Tribolium castaneum: one gene and its partners. The protein of the gene in region 2 binds, or shares a complex with, the protein of the main gene of each other region. Links are inferred from orthologs where the notes say so. Each region holds a gene or a part of one and is shown on either strand. Other genes may lie near its edges.

Region 1 (4,752 bases), about 15 Mb from region 2:
ACAAAGGAGGTAATCTTGTATGAACGCCCCCTGAAATTTGTGAAAATGTTCCATCAAATAATCTTATGACATCGCACTTGTTGACGTTGAGTGCTTTAAGATGCCGATTAAAGCATCGATATGGCGGACAATTACAAAAATAACTATTATAAACTCGCAAATTCACAATCAATTAAATTCGACATCAAAAAAGAAATAGAAAAATATTAAAAATTAAGTTGTTTCGAACAATACTTTATTAATGACTTTAATACATTTATGTTTTTTATCTCTTATCAATATCACCATTCGCGTGTTTGAGCTCGTTTTTTAAAACGAGCTATTCTGTATTTTTCACCAATTTGTTTATAGTTTTTTTTATCCGGAAACCAATTATTATTTCGCGAAATTTTGTTACAAATTTTGTGACAAATCTGTGTTTATTATTTTTGCTTTTTTTAAGTCTTCAGAGCTTTATTGGAAAGATTCACAACACACCTGTTTTAATCTGATTAATCAACTCTTGTTGGTGATTAAGACACTGGTTGATTAAATAACTATTGCAGGTTTGGATCATATAGGCCACGTCTACGGTCCCAAATCTCCGCTTATTTTATCCAAACTCAAAGAAATGGATTACGTTATAGAAGAAATCTACAAAACCGACGCGATTTTGATGGTAACAGGTGATCACGGAATGAGAGACAGCGGAGGGCATGGGGGCTCCACACATCCTGAAACCAACGTCCCCTTTATAGTTTTGGGTGTGCCTTGCATTAATGACTCTTTTGCCCAAATTGACATTCCCGCTAATTTAGCCATTTTACAAAATTTCGATGTTCCAACCACTAGCATTGGCCAACTTCACAAAAGTCTGTTGTCTCATTTGCAACAATCAGAATTTTTACAAGCTTTGAGATACAACACCTTTTTATTGACAAATAAGCTGGATTTGTGCGAAGAAACAATTCACACTGCAGACCATCTTTTCGATCTATTTCTACTTAATCAGAAAAAAGAATTGGCCGAAAGCGCGGCCCAATTGTACGAAAACTGTGCACGAAAAATTAGCGAAACGTTACAAAAACTTTCAATTCAACAAAACGCAGCATCTCTGATTGTCGCAACTGCTACAACCGTTGTAATTTTGTTAAAAGTAATCCAAAAACTGTTCGGGGTTTCTCCGAAAACTGATCGCTTCGAACAATTAACAATGTTGGCACTGCTATTTTTACAGTTTGCCCATTTTCACGTTGCCATGGATATGTTACTTACCGTGACAATATTATTTTTAGTTGTTAGAAATCTTGCGTGTTTTGAGACAAAACATTTGCAGTGCGCTAACAAATCTTTTTTGATGTTTATGTCAATTGTGCATCCGTTGTCTTTCCTCTCCTCGAGTTACTTGGAAGAAGAGCACCAATTTTGGTATTTTTTTACAAACACTTTTATTTTGTTTAATATTTTAACTAAAGGGAAATACTGGATTTTGCTTTTTGTAGCACTCAGACTCGTTCGCACACTTAACCAAGTTGGTGATAAATGGGCTGCATTGCCGGATTTAGCTGACTGGTTGTTACAAAACGAAAATTATTTATATTTGCAAGTAATTTTTATTTCGGGTTTAGCAGCCTCGTACCTTTGTACCATTATGTTTGCAAAAACGAAATTGAGTAAGTTTCTTGATGCTTTAGTCTTAATTTTAATTTATGTCTTTCGCTCAGTGTTCGTGAATATAATCTTGGGCCAAATTTTGTGGTTTCTAATTTTTATAAAATTTCTACTTTGTGTATCAACCAAAGAAAGTTTTGCATTAGTTTGGTTACTACTTATTAGTTTGTTACTTAAGCCCTACAATGTGATACTTATTCCATTGTGTGTATTAGGTAGTCAACTTTTCCACAAAGCTTTAGAAAATGAAACGTTAACGATGGCCCATTGGTGGTTAGGTAATTTGTTATTTTTTGCTCAAGGGCATGATAATAGTTTAGCAAGTGTTGATATTTCAAGCGGTTATATTGGATTACACGAGTATAACCCTTTTTTAGTCTTTCCTCAAGTATTGTGTCACACATATGCCCTCCCAGTATTAAGCCACTTATTACTTTTCACAAACAGAAAGGTAAATGTTTTTAAAAGTCTGTCTATTTTTATATTGTTTAGATTATATATTGTTGTGCTAGTTTTTATAGTAACTTTCATACACAGACACCATTTGTTTATTTGGTCAGTTTTTGCCCCAAAAATGTTTGTTGAGGCAAGCCATTTTTTCTTTTTATTTGTTGAAGTATCTTGCTACTATTTAATAGATTTAATAAAAAAAAATTGTTACTGAAATTGTGTTTTTTTAATAAAACATCTGTTACAAATTTGAAAATTTGTCTTATTTTATTATAAATCTAATCCTCAGATTAAAGATCGTTTAAAAAATTTTGCTAAAAATATGGCTGTGTGAAGGGTCAAACTGACCATTCATTGTTTTGTCACTGATAAAGGCACAAGTTTCCAACCAAGTCAAATCATAAGCATTCCCAACCCAAAGTTCAAACAAAGTTAGATTTACTAATATTTTCAGGCAGTAGAATTAAATTGGGGATTTGATAAGCAATGAAATAAGTATCAAGAACGGTAAGGAGATTTTACCGATTGAAGACAATTGTTTGGAGGAGGAGCATAGCGACGACTCCAATTATTGTCTGAGATCGGCAATCTTTAACGTTCGTGATGCTTTTGGCGTTTTTTGCACGATTCTTAAATTCTTATTAAATAATGTCAAAATAATTGTCAAGACAACAGGTTATGGTTACCGGTTGCTAGGTCCAAGGCGTCCACAAAATTACTTACCGTTACAGTGGCGGCTTCTCAGAGGAAGCAGGGGAGGCTAAGCCCCCTCAAACATTTTTAACGAATAACGAATACAATATTTTGTTTAATAAAAAAAATATTTTTTTTAATTTAAATCGAAGTCGCGCTGGAATTGGATCTCATGCTTGCTTCGTTTGCGCCATAGATTTATAGCAAGGGGTGTTCACTCTTCAAAAAAAGCCGGGAGTAGTGATGTTAGTTAGTGGTAACATCACCGAAGCGCTGACAAGCAATCAAGAAAGATAAAATATATTACTGTCTGAATCATTAAAAAAAATTGTTGTTTGCGCATGTATCTCCAACGGTTCACATTTGAGTACTGTCAAAATGATGTGTCTCTGGTTGTAATGGGACACAGGGTCTAATTTCAAGTTTGGTCGCAAAATTGCGCGGGTCGTAGTTGCATAGCAGCAACGAATGACATTGCTAGATTTGCGCCGTTGCTATGTCAATCATGATTTGCACCGGTCGTAAGTCAACTTGAAATTAGGCTCACAGAATCAGACCTTACGACCGGCACAAATCGGTATTGTTATAGCAACGGCGCAAATCTAGCAATGTCATTCGTTGTTATAGTGGCGGTCAGCTCGATTTGCATGTGCGTCATCAATTTCATTTTTTCATTACCAACACAAAGCTATAAAAAACTTACCAAAAACAATGCAAATTTAAACAGCTAAGGGCTATCCAAGGGTGGTATCCTTGAACATTAATTTACTTGTGCACTTCGACAACACCGTCAAGTGTCACGAATTTGTCAACCTGACATTGACAGTAAATTATAGACGTCGTCGCATGGTTGTCGAAAGTGTTATCGGTGTTAATCGCAAGTATTTTCCGTTCGTTTATTGTGTTTTGTGATTTGCGTTTCGTTAGGTTTTTGATTCTGCGTTTATTAGTTCTTGTTTTGTGAATCTGTATTTTTTTGTAACAACTCATAATTTAAACACTTCGTAACCGCAAAAAATATTTGATAGTTTGTCACCGCTATGCCCTGCTATGTAAACGTAGTGACAGAAATGTCAGATGACGCACACGCAAATGGAGCTGAGCACTACCATAAGCTATGTGCGCTGTACTTTTTACATTGCGGTATATGGTCTCGAAAAATTCGAGAGCAGGTAGTCGACATTATGTTAATGTAATTAGTAAGGGTCCATTCAAAGATAGGATTCATAAGTTTAGTGTGCTATCTTTTTCATAACAACATCTGTCCGTGGAATTTTAAGTGGCGCTATTCTGACCTATCAGGCATTTTAAGATAGGGTTAATAAACTAAAGGGTTTACGCGTTTATGCTTTGTTATAAATCAGTTTCCTGTCACTGCACTTTTCGAAATTCATGAAAAATTCGAGAGCAGATATACGACGTTACGTTGATAATTAATAAGGGTCCTATATAAAAATTTCATTAACACTGTTACTTTGGCTATGGTGTGTAAGAATAATAATACGTATGATGAAATACTTTTTAGAGTAATTAAAGAACTGTACGATGATAATGGCGTATTATATGAAATCATATTAAAGCTACCCTTTAATGTTAAGAGGAATGTGAATAATAAGATTGTTTATTATTATCAGGGCTCATAAGATGTTTATAATTGAATTTAAGAAATAAATAAATGTTTAAACCCATATAATTGATTTTATTTTTCTCCATTCCTTACCTCTATGAATTAAAGCTACTATGTAAAGCTGGCACGTTTATCAGACAAATATGATGCTCTATTTATACGTCGAGTAAATATATTACATAAGGAACAGCGAATAAGAGCAAGCGGTTATAATTTAAAATCAATTTGGGAATGTCAGTTTCGAAAATTATTAAAAGATAATACTGAAATCAAACAATTTATAATAAATCACCCTAATTTAATGCAGGTACCGTCAAATCCCCGTGATAGTT
Region 2 (4,301 bases):
CAAAAGCCGTAATAAGGGTCAATAATGGTGTTTTTCAACACACTGGGGTTGCACTTACCATTTTAATGCCTTCAAATAACCAAAAACACCAACACACACACTAAATTCAATCATTAACACTTTAGAAACGACACTAAACAACAATAAACCCAACTTTAACACAAGTTTTGTTCAAATTTAACAAGACAACAAAACATGACAGGTGCAAAATTGGCGGTGTTACCAACGTGGTTACCAACATAACATTACGCACTATGCTAGGTGTTGCCAACCCAACTGCAGTCACAGCCCTCTGATTTATCCAATTTTTGCAGCTTTGCGTGTTATCAGCTGTTGTAAATCAATCAAGACTATCAGCTTACGTTTTTCGCAACTATTCTTTACCATGTCGTGTGCAGTCCCAATATTTGGGAAGCCATAAACACTTAATCTGGGAAGCGGTGAGGGCATCGGCCGCAGCGCCAACTTACTTCGAGGAATTCAAATTGGAGAACATGCTGCACCAGGTACCACCAACCAACCATTTACAATGTAACTAAATTTTAAATATACAGGACGGCGGTATTTTATTCAACAACCCAACGGCGGTGGCAATCCACGAAGCCAGACTCCTCTGGCCGGAAGCCCCCATCCAGTGCGTGCTGTCGTTTGGCACCGGCCGTACCATCCCCTTGCCCGTCGACCCCAACACCCAGAAAGCGGTCCGGAATTCGTCGTGGAAAAGCAAGTTCTATGCCATTATTGAGAGCGCAACGGACACAGAAGGGGTGCACACAATGCTCTCAGATCTGCTGCCCCCGAGTATTTACTACCGGTTCAATCCGTATCTGACCGAAATGTTGGATATTGCGGAAATTGATCCGAAAAAAGTGGAGCAGTTATTAAGGGATGCTGTCATGTATTTGAGGCGGAACGAGGATAAGTTTCACGAAGCTGCAAGGGTTTTGCTCCAGGAGAAATCGCTAAGTCAGAAAGCCATTGATTGGTTGAGTCTGCAGCAGGAGATAAGGGGCTTCAGACGGGTGCCGCAAACGTTACTCACGGCGTAGCACAATAAGAGTATTATCAATTATTTTAGATTAGAAAATTAGGTTTTGTATTCGATTTGTCTTAATAGATTTACAACAATTCGGTTGCAATTTGCGACTTCTACCATTAGTGATAGAAATGGTTGTGATAATTATTAAGTTAAGGAGAACTGTTTTTATTTTAGACAATTTGAAATAAATTTTTTTAGTAACAAATTGTTTTCTTCCCTGTCATATCTGGTGGGCGATTTTTTTCTCAGAGCTTGGTCAAAAAACGCAATCAGAAACAAATTTAACGAAAATCGACATTTATTTTAAGCGTAACACAACTCATAGCATATATTTTCCAGTCTTTCTGATAAACTTGGCGAAATACTGGTGTTGGAGCAGAGAGGTAACAAAATTGGCGACCATGTAGCCCACCATGGCCCCCACGCTGCAAGGGATGGGCCAGTCCTGCCACGGCCTGTTCCAGTCCAGTGGTATGACGATGGCCCCCAGCCAGGCCCCAAAGAGAGTCAACCTCAATTTCAGCATAAACAACTTCTGGACATCGCTACCATCATACGAAGCGAGTGACAAGAACATGTGTACTGTGTTATCACCCCCAAAATACAAGCAAAGAGGAAGCGCAGTAAAGGTTGTAACAATCAACGAAAACATGCAAGTTTCTTCAAAATCGGAAAGAATAGGCGCTCCGAACAAAACAGCAACGACGTAAATTGTGGCAAAGAGTAACAACAAGACTAGGACGTTTTTTATAAAGTCTTTGGCGTGGTGTTTATAAAAGCTGGTTTTTGTGCGAGATACGTGAAACGAATATTTGATAAATTCCAAAGCCGCAAGGCCTAGGATGTTGTAAAGGGAGTCCGAGTGTCCAATTGATAAAATCAGGTTGTTGTAGTACAAAAAGCTCAAGTATAGCAGTAAGTACATTGAGGTGAGGATGTCGTTCCAGCGCAGTGTTTGCGAATAATCGGGGGTTAAATATTTCACCGGCATTTTGGGCCTAGCCGTCTGAAAACAGAGTTTTAGTTGCTCAAACAAAAAAAGAATCAACAAACCGTCACAGTCACAAGAGATGAGATAAAAATTTAATTTGCGATTAACGCCGTTTAACTAGCATGGCACTGTTTAAATAATAATAGTTCTCATTTCAACCCAAATTCAACAGTTTGGGCTGTAATTCACATAATTTCAACTATTTCAAGAACAATGAATATGTTAGGTTATATATGTGTGCGAAAATTCCCTAAGCATCGCCAACCTTTGGTTATTTCCCCCAAAATCTATTAATCGATTTTTTAAGGATTCACCTTAGAAAACGCAGAAATTCGACCTAACAATGTTTTTATCTCTTTCTGAGTTTTAATGCTCTTTAAAAACATCACGAATTGGTTATACGGGATGTTCAGTTGGCGATAACTCGGTAACTTATTTTCTAGCGATTTGCAACACTGTAACAATGAAAATTAAGACAAGGTGGCAATGTTTTCAATTTGTAAATAATGGGCCCGGCTAACAATAAATTAAAGTTGATATATTTAAAACAGAGGTAGAAATTACAGTGAAAAAAGGATTAATTTACAAATCAAACTTCCACTGGCGGTACGCATGCGAAGAGTTCGCATTGACATGGAATCATAGAATCACATAGTTAAAAATCCTTATTTAAGTATAAATAAATACATCTAACTTAGTACGAGCTCTTCTAGCATTATATTATGTAACAATAACATTAATTTAGACGACGTAGGAAGCAATTTGAGTGAGGCCCTCGTTAGTGCACAATCAAATCGCTCAGTTTTTTTCTTCAATATCAAAATCTTCAAAATCATCAGTCCACTTGAGATCCGTCGTTTTCGGAGAAGTCTCCGAATGGTGGTGTCCGTCATGACTAGCCACGTTTTCGCTAAAAAAATCATCATCGAATGGATCGCTTTCCCGCGCGAAAATATTTACAGATTCAGACTTTTTTATATTAATATCAGACTGAAAGTTATTGGAGAGCCTATTTTTATTGAGTTTCTTTTTCCGAGAATTCGTTGCATTGTTTGTGCTAAATGAGCTTTCTTTATCGTTGGGATCCGCCTCCTCCTTGATGCTTGATATGCCACTGTCTTCAGGTAACGGGTCGGGTTTCCCACTTGGGGAAAAATCATCTTCAAATAAAGATTTCTGCTTGGGGTGCGTCCGAGGCGACAATTTCAACTCTTTAAGTGACCTTTGCCGAAAACTCTCTTTACTGAACTCGTTATCTGTTTTCTCAAACATGCTCTGCTGTCGCAACCCTTTCAGCGGTTTATTGACAACAGTCGGAGATTCGGCTTCAGACGTTTCGAAATCGTTTTCAAAGCTAAATTTCGCATCCGCACGCCCACTCACTGGACTGTCTTCAGACGGCACGAAATCGTTCTCAAACAACGATTTCGCACGCGATGTTGATTTCCGAGGGAATGTGCTAACAATGTTCACTTCGGCTTTCGGGCTTTCCTTTTTCTTTCTGCTCGCTAAAGTGGCGCTTTTCTTATTGCTGCTGTGGTCGGATTTGGTACTATCAACTTGTTTTTTTGGCGGCATTTCAGCGAAATCGGCTTCGAATTGTTTCGCGTACTGCTTACTTCGGTGCGAGCCGCGTAGTGTGGGGCCCCCTTCTGGCTTGTGACGGTGGGAAGACTCCGAATATTGCGAGTCTCGGCTGCGGGAGCGGCGGCCGGGTTTGTACCGGCGGTCCCTCTCCCCGTCACTTCCTCCTAACACAAAAAAATTTTAAAATAAAAAAGGTATTAAAAAAAGTCTTGTTTATTTTATTTTATATTTTAATTTAAAGTCATAGGTCACTTGAAAAGAGAAAATAAAAAAAAATACGCACCTGCTCCAAAATAATGCCGCGACTTGATCTCGCCTGTTTTTCGGTCCATTTCCGACGCACTGCTCGGCCTCTTCCAGTTTCTCCTCGCTGTTAAATAATGAGAGGATGAAACTTCTTCGGCTTCGTTCGAATATTCGTCTTCCCAGGGAGATTCTTGTGATTCGCGACTGTAATAACGCTCGTCGTGTTTGCGTTCTCGCCACATTCCGGGAGGACCGTCCATATTCGTCCAGCGATTACTACCGTATCTGTTTACAGGTTTTTCTGGAAATAAAGAGGATAAAAACATAAATAAATAAAAATTAATAGTACCATGCTCCCCCACATCCCAGTCTGGACAACACCACCGATCCCTCTCTCCTTCACGTCTCCGCCTATGTCTCCTATCTTCGCTCCATTGA
Region 3 (5,495 bases), about 3.0 Mb from region 2:
CTGACGTTATAAATTTTTCCGTAGGTCTTTGCACGACGCTATTTTTTCAAATGTCAAATAAATTGACATAAGTTAAAAACTATGACTGATAAGTTTATAAAATCAGGTGCGTTGGCTACGATTTCAAAAATGTGCCGAAAGGTTAGAGTTTTCATAAAAAAAACAAATTAATAGCTTGCACAGAAAAAATTATGGAGCATGCACGCACCCCTGGGTCACCCTGTATTTAATCAAACGCTGAATGATGTGTGATTATTAGTTTTAGCAGACTCACCTTGTAATGAACGCACAGTTTTGTATAATAAAAAATTAAAACACTCAAATTAAACAAAGTGTTTTAGAAAAAACATTGTATTTAATTAGCGAAACTGACTTACCCATAATTGTGGCTTTCTCGAGCCGGATAATCGACGTAATAATCAGAACAAACGCCGACGCCAGAAACATGATAACAGTAGCCGGGGCAACACCATCCCCATGAATCAATGCGAACAAATGCGTCAGAAAAATCCCAATCGAGACAAAAACGGCACTGTAGGCAGTCCCCAGCCCGCACAAAATCGGGACATCATCCCGGCTTTCTTCATTGAAGAGCCTCTTCACTTTGTGGAACAAATGCGGGATGATATTCTGCCCCTCGACTGTCTTTTCCTTCGGTAAAACGTAAACGCACAATGGCTTCAAAACCACGACCAAAATCCCAACAAACGAAACACCATAAACAGTCCAAGCCAAAACATTCGCCTGCCAGGGCCGGATCGCCTTGTTCTTCGGATCACCCGGGAGCCGGTTCAAGACCCAGAAACCGCTCGTGCACACGACCAGAACCGTGGGCGCGTACTTTAGCACAATCACCGTGAAGTTGTAACCGTTCAAGTTGCCACAATTTCGCAGCCAAACTTTGGTGGTTGTGACAAACAGGGCCAAGGTTATGAGAGTGGTGATCCACTGGAGTTTGGTCGTTTCGGCTTTAGAGGTGAACGAATTGTACGTTTCGTAACACCAGGGTTGCTCTAAACGGTCGCGACAGCGCCAGAAATACATGGAAATGCGCACAAGCACCAACATCCCGAACGCAATTAACAACAATCGCAACTTCGGTCTCGGGATTTTTTTCTTTGTTTCTCCCTGACCGACGCTCAAACTCCCAATCAAAATAACCGTGGTTAGGAGAAACAGCAAAACGGACGACTCCTCAACGACAAAACTGTTGGAAAAAAGGCCACACAAGTGGAAAACGAGCACCAGCCGGCAGATTAGATTCGGGATACGTTCTTTCTTGCTCCGATCGTACCAGTTGAGACTGATCAACTCCCAGTTTTGAATCACCAGCATGCCTAGCATGAACTGGGAGACCAGTCCGGTTGAGAAAAAAATCGTGGATGTGAGACTTGAAACGTAGGAAAAGTGGTACAAAACAATCGAGACGCAAACCGCAACTAACAAAACAAAATAAGAACAAGTGAGGAACGAACTCATGAAAATCTCCGGGAGGCGGTTGCTGGGAATCCCGTCAGTGATCACATAGACGAAAAACATGGACAGGAACAGGAACAACAATCCACGAGTCATCGAAAACGAATCGAACTGGACCCAGACTTGCTCGCAAGTTTCGCGCAATTTCCCCAAAAAAACCAAACACTCCTCTGTGAAAGTCGCAAAGGAGGGTTGGTCACTGACGTGGAAGAGTTTGCTGTTCAGGAGGGCGTAGTTCTCGCGCAGGCTTTGCAAAGTTGAGTCGCTGAAGGTTTCCGGGGCCGATTTGGCGTAGTGGTCGATGTAGGTGAGCATTTGTTGGGCATTTGCCCATAGGTGGAAGAGGGACCATTGCCATTCGGGCACTTGTGAGTTGTTGAGGAGCGGAAGGGCGTCCAGGATTACCGTTCCGAGGTTTGAGAACGGGATCGAAACGCCGAAAATTGAGGCAAGGGTTGGGACAAGGCTGACTTGGCGGACGGTGGCGGAGGCGTGGAGGGAGGAGAGTTGGGTGTGGGAGTACACGAAGAGGGCTGAGGTGACTTCGTCGTCGGCGTCGCCCCCGTGGTTGCCGGTTTCGGTCATTCCGTGGTCGCCGATCACGAACAGCATTGTGCTGGGGTCTAGTCGCTCCACAATGCTCCTGGAAACAAAAGTTGGGTGAATAAATGCAAAAAAAAGCGAGTTAGGAAAAGTAAAAACTAGGTAAAATATTTCTTTTGTGATCATTTTTTGTGGTACAAACTTACGCAATCACGGTGTTCATTTCTGTCAATTTGCGCTCCATCTCCGAATGGTTGGGGCCGTAGCGATGGCCACAGTGGTCCACCCCCAAGTAATGTGCGATCAGAAAACTCCAATCATTTTTTGCCAATTCGGGGTAAAGGTGGAAATTGACTCCGTCGTCAACTGTGTCCAAATCCCAGACATCGAAAGAGGGATAGGGGTATTTCCTGAGAAATCTGTTAGGGTAGAGGCCGTCCCAAGTGTCGTCGCCGATCAAGACCGTGCTCAAGTTGTGCCTCAACAACTGAAACTCTCCTGTGATTTTAAACAATTATTGAAAATAGTTACAAACTTGGTCAATGATATTATCCTCGTTGATTTCATTCGTGGCAAAATTGGAGCCGGCGTCGATAAAAGTTGGAAGACTTCCCGTCGTTAGAGCTTTCAGTCTTTGCATTGTGGTGGTCGGGGGGTCCGCTATGAACTTATACAGCCGCGAATTGTCCGGTTGTTGCTTCAGCAACTCGTTTATAACCGGCAGCTTGTTTTGGAACGGCAGAGGGTTTTTTAAATTCTCGTCATAGAGTGCAAAGTCGTACCGCAGAGCGTCGATTATCACGAAGACAACGCGCGCTCTTTGGGGCAAGCAAATATCCGAAGCGCTGTTTATGTTTTGAAAAACATAGGATAGTTTGGTGTCGGCACTGCATTGCTGTTCGTGGGCACTTAAAGTCGTCGATTCCTTGTGAATGCACGGGATCTCGGACAGGGAGAGGCAAGTGGAGTTGGTTGTTTGGGCATTTTTGGAGAGGAGGAATCCGCGCGAAAAGAGCAAAATTGACGAGACTATCAAGTACGAGAACCATAGCATGAACAAGAAATAGCACCAGTGTTTGCCCATTGTGCACAAGTCATTTAGAAAAGTCTCGTTTGGTTTAATTTATAATTTTATCACTAACCCAACTTTTGAAATGTCACACTCCCATTGGGCGCTTTAACTACTCACTCCCTTTGGTCTACTCTCATTAACTATGACCAAATGGGAATGACCAAAAGTTTGGCCTCACACGGCAAATTTGTAAAATTGTACCATATTTTACGAAAATACGAATTTCTAAGGCAAACAAATTAATTCAAAAAATTAGGTCCGAACCACCGTAGACCTTATTCTATGACCGTAGACCGTTCACACCAACTTGTCAGACTGACGTTTAACCAAACAAATAACCTCCCCTAATTTTGCTAAAAATGGAGCCAGAGGAGCACTTACTGGCTTTGAAAGGTGCAAATGAGAGTTACCAAATTTTTGGTTAATATCTGCGGTTTTAGTTATGCGTCTTACGCGCCCCACTCTGGCCACTCCTCTGCCAGTGACTTGCGACAGCAAGGACTTGCCCGGTAATTTGCTAAATGTTGCCCTTCAGCAGGACGCTGCGTCGGTTAAAGGCACCGAAACGTTGTCTATAGGCCAATTTTTGCTGCTACCTCAAAGTCCAGTTAATATTTATTTAGGCGAAACGTTTTCTAGCTACATTTGTGTGTACAATGAGACTCAACACATTGTTAGTAATGTTAGTGTTAAAGTGGACTTGCAGACCACTTCTCAGCGATTGCCTTTATCCTCGAATCCTCCAACCCCTCAACTGACCCCTGATGACACTGTTAATATTGTTATCCATCATGAGGTCAAAGAAATTGGAAATCACATGTAAAGTCGCATTTATTTGTGCAATCTTTCACTACGAGTGGTTGAATTGTAGTTTGGTGTGTGAAGTGTCTTATCAGAACGCAGTAGGAATTCTTAAATCGTTCAGGAAATTTTTCAAAATTCAAGTACTTAAGCCGCTTGACGTCAAAACGAAGTTCTACAATGCGGAAAACGACGATGTTTATTTGGAGGCCCAGGTGCAGAACATCACCACAGGCCCCATATGTTTGGAAAAGGTGGCCTTGGACGCGTCCCACCTCTTTAAAGGTTCATTTTTTAATTGTGATAAGCAACCTATGTTTGTGAAATTACGTTGCCAACTTATTTAAGAGCACATTTGTTATTTTTGCAGTTACGTCCTTGAATGTGACACCAACAGGTGAGAGCATTTTTGGCAAAACAACCCTTTTAAACCCTCAAGCTGTTTGCCAATTTTTGTACTGCCTATCACCCAATGAAAAATTGTCTTCCGATTTGAAGAGTTTAAGTGGGGCCACAAACATTGGCAAGTTGGATATAGTGTGGAGGTCGAATTTGGGCGAAAGGGGCAGGTTGCAGACAAGTCAGCTTCAAAGAATGGTAAGTTTTTTTCAAAACTTGCCACATAATTTAAATGTAATGATTTATTTAAAATTCAGATTGAAAATTCTTCAAATACTTTAGGCAAAGTTAAGCAAATGCTATTGAAAATATTCTTTGAATAATTGTTTTGCTGTTTTGTGTTCGTAAGTGCTTAAACGTTTTCCAAATTGACTGGCGTGAAAAACTGCACTAACGAATTTTTTCAGGGACCTGATTATGGTGATATAAGATTATCGATTACCGAATTACCTAATTTCGTAGTCTTGGAAGAGTTGTTTGCGTTCAAATGCCGGCTGGTTAATAATTGGTAAATATAAAGTGCTTTCATTAATTTGTCAGCAACGTGAGCTATGATTTTAAAATTGTTTTTGGCATTTTAGCGAAAGAAGTGTTGAGTTAATGATGTATTTGGATAACTCAGATGGCTTGGCTTGGTGTGGCATTTCTGGCCGTAAGTTAGAAGTGTTGCCACCACACTCCACCCGAGTTTTAGAATTTAAAGCAATCCCCCTTATTCCGGGCCTGCGAACCCTTTCCGGGATCAAATTAGTCGACACGTTCCTCAAAAGAACTTACAACTACGACGATCTAGGTCAAGTCTTTGTGATAGTTAATGATAATGTTGGAAAAAGTATTTAATAAGTTTATTTAAAATAAATTGTTTCTTTAACAAAAATAGACTTTACAATTCGATAAACGCATCGGACGTTTCATCCAAAAACAGCAGCTTGAAAATATCGTTATAAAAGCCGGGATAATACTGACATGCCCGTTGGCAGTCTGGAGTCCAGTTAATTTCCAGCAATTTGGGCTGGATGTCCCGGGACTCCCCCCATTCCAGCATCAAATCAGCGGCGTACAAAGCCCGCGATTGCGGACTGTGGGCCACCCCACAAGGGGGCTCGTCCTTAACAGCCCCCTCTAACACGTTCCTAAGAACCCCCAAAATTAATTTTTGCACACTGTCCCAATCAAAATTCGGATATTGTTGCTCCCAAAAAAT

What was found.
Region 1: PIG-F (region 2) and PIG-G share a complex: the UniProt entries of both Homo sapiens proteins name them as parts of the ethanolamine phosphate transferase 2 complex. The link is inferred for Tribolium castaneum from reciprocal best matches to the Homo sapiens genes PIGF and PIGG.
Region 3: PIG-F (region 2) and PIG-O share a complex: the UniProt entries of both Homo sapiens proteins name them as parts of the ethanolamine phosphate transferase 3 complex. The link is inferred for Tribolium castaneum from reciprocal best matches to the Homo sapiens genes PIGF and PIGO.

The regions. Positions count from the first base shown.
Region 1 is NC_087396.1:8,432,158-8,436,909, reverse strand, and holds part of PIG-G (GPI ethanolamine phosphate transferase 2), read left to right. Parts: intron 1-545; coding exon 546-2,314; 3' UTR 2,315-4,752.
Region 2 is NC_087396.1:23,483,199-23,487,499, reverse strand, and holds PIG-F (phosphatidylinositol-glycan biosynthesis class F protein), read right to left. Parts: upstream 2,396-4,301; 5' UTR 2,093-2,395; intron 2,046-2,092; 5' UTR 2,031-2,045; coding exon 1,359-2,030; 3' UTR 1,320-1,358; downstream 1-1,319. Other genes in the region: calcium-independent phospholipase A2-gamma, read left to right, coding at 315-506, 555-1,049; Dab (protein disabled), read right to left, coding at 2,829-3,781, 3,901-4,164, 4,213-4,301.
Region 3 is NC_087396.1:20,516,167-20,521,661, reverse strand, and holds the start of PIG-O (GPI ethanolamine phosphate transferase 3), read right to left. Parts: upstream 3,252-5,495; 5' UTR 3,104-3,251; coding exon 2,555-3,103; intron 2,507-2,554; coding exon 2,226-2,506; intron 2,120-2,225; coding exon 378-2,119; intron 1-377. Other genes in the region: trafficking protein particle complex subunit 13, read left to right, coding at 3,451-3,484, 3,532-3,910, 3,963-4,177, 4,263-4,489, 4,699-4,799, 4,873-5,131; TTLL12 (tubulin--tyrosine ligase-like protein 12), read right to left, coding at 5,175-5,495.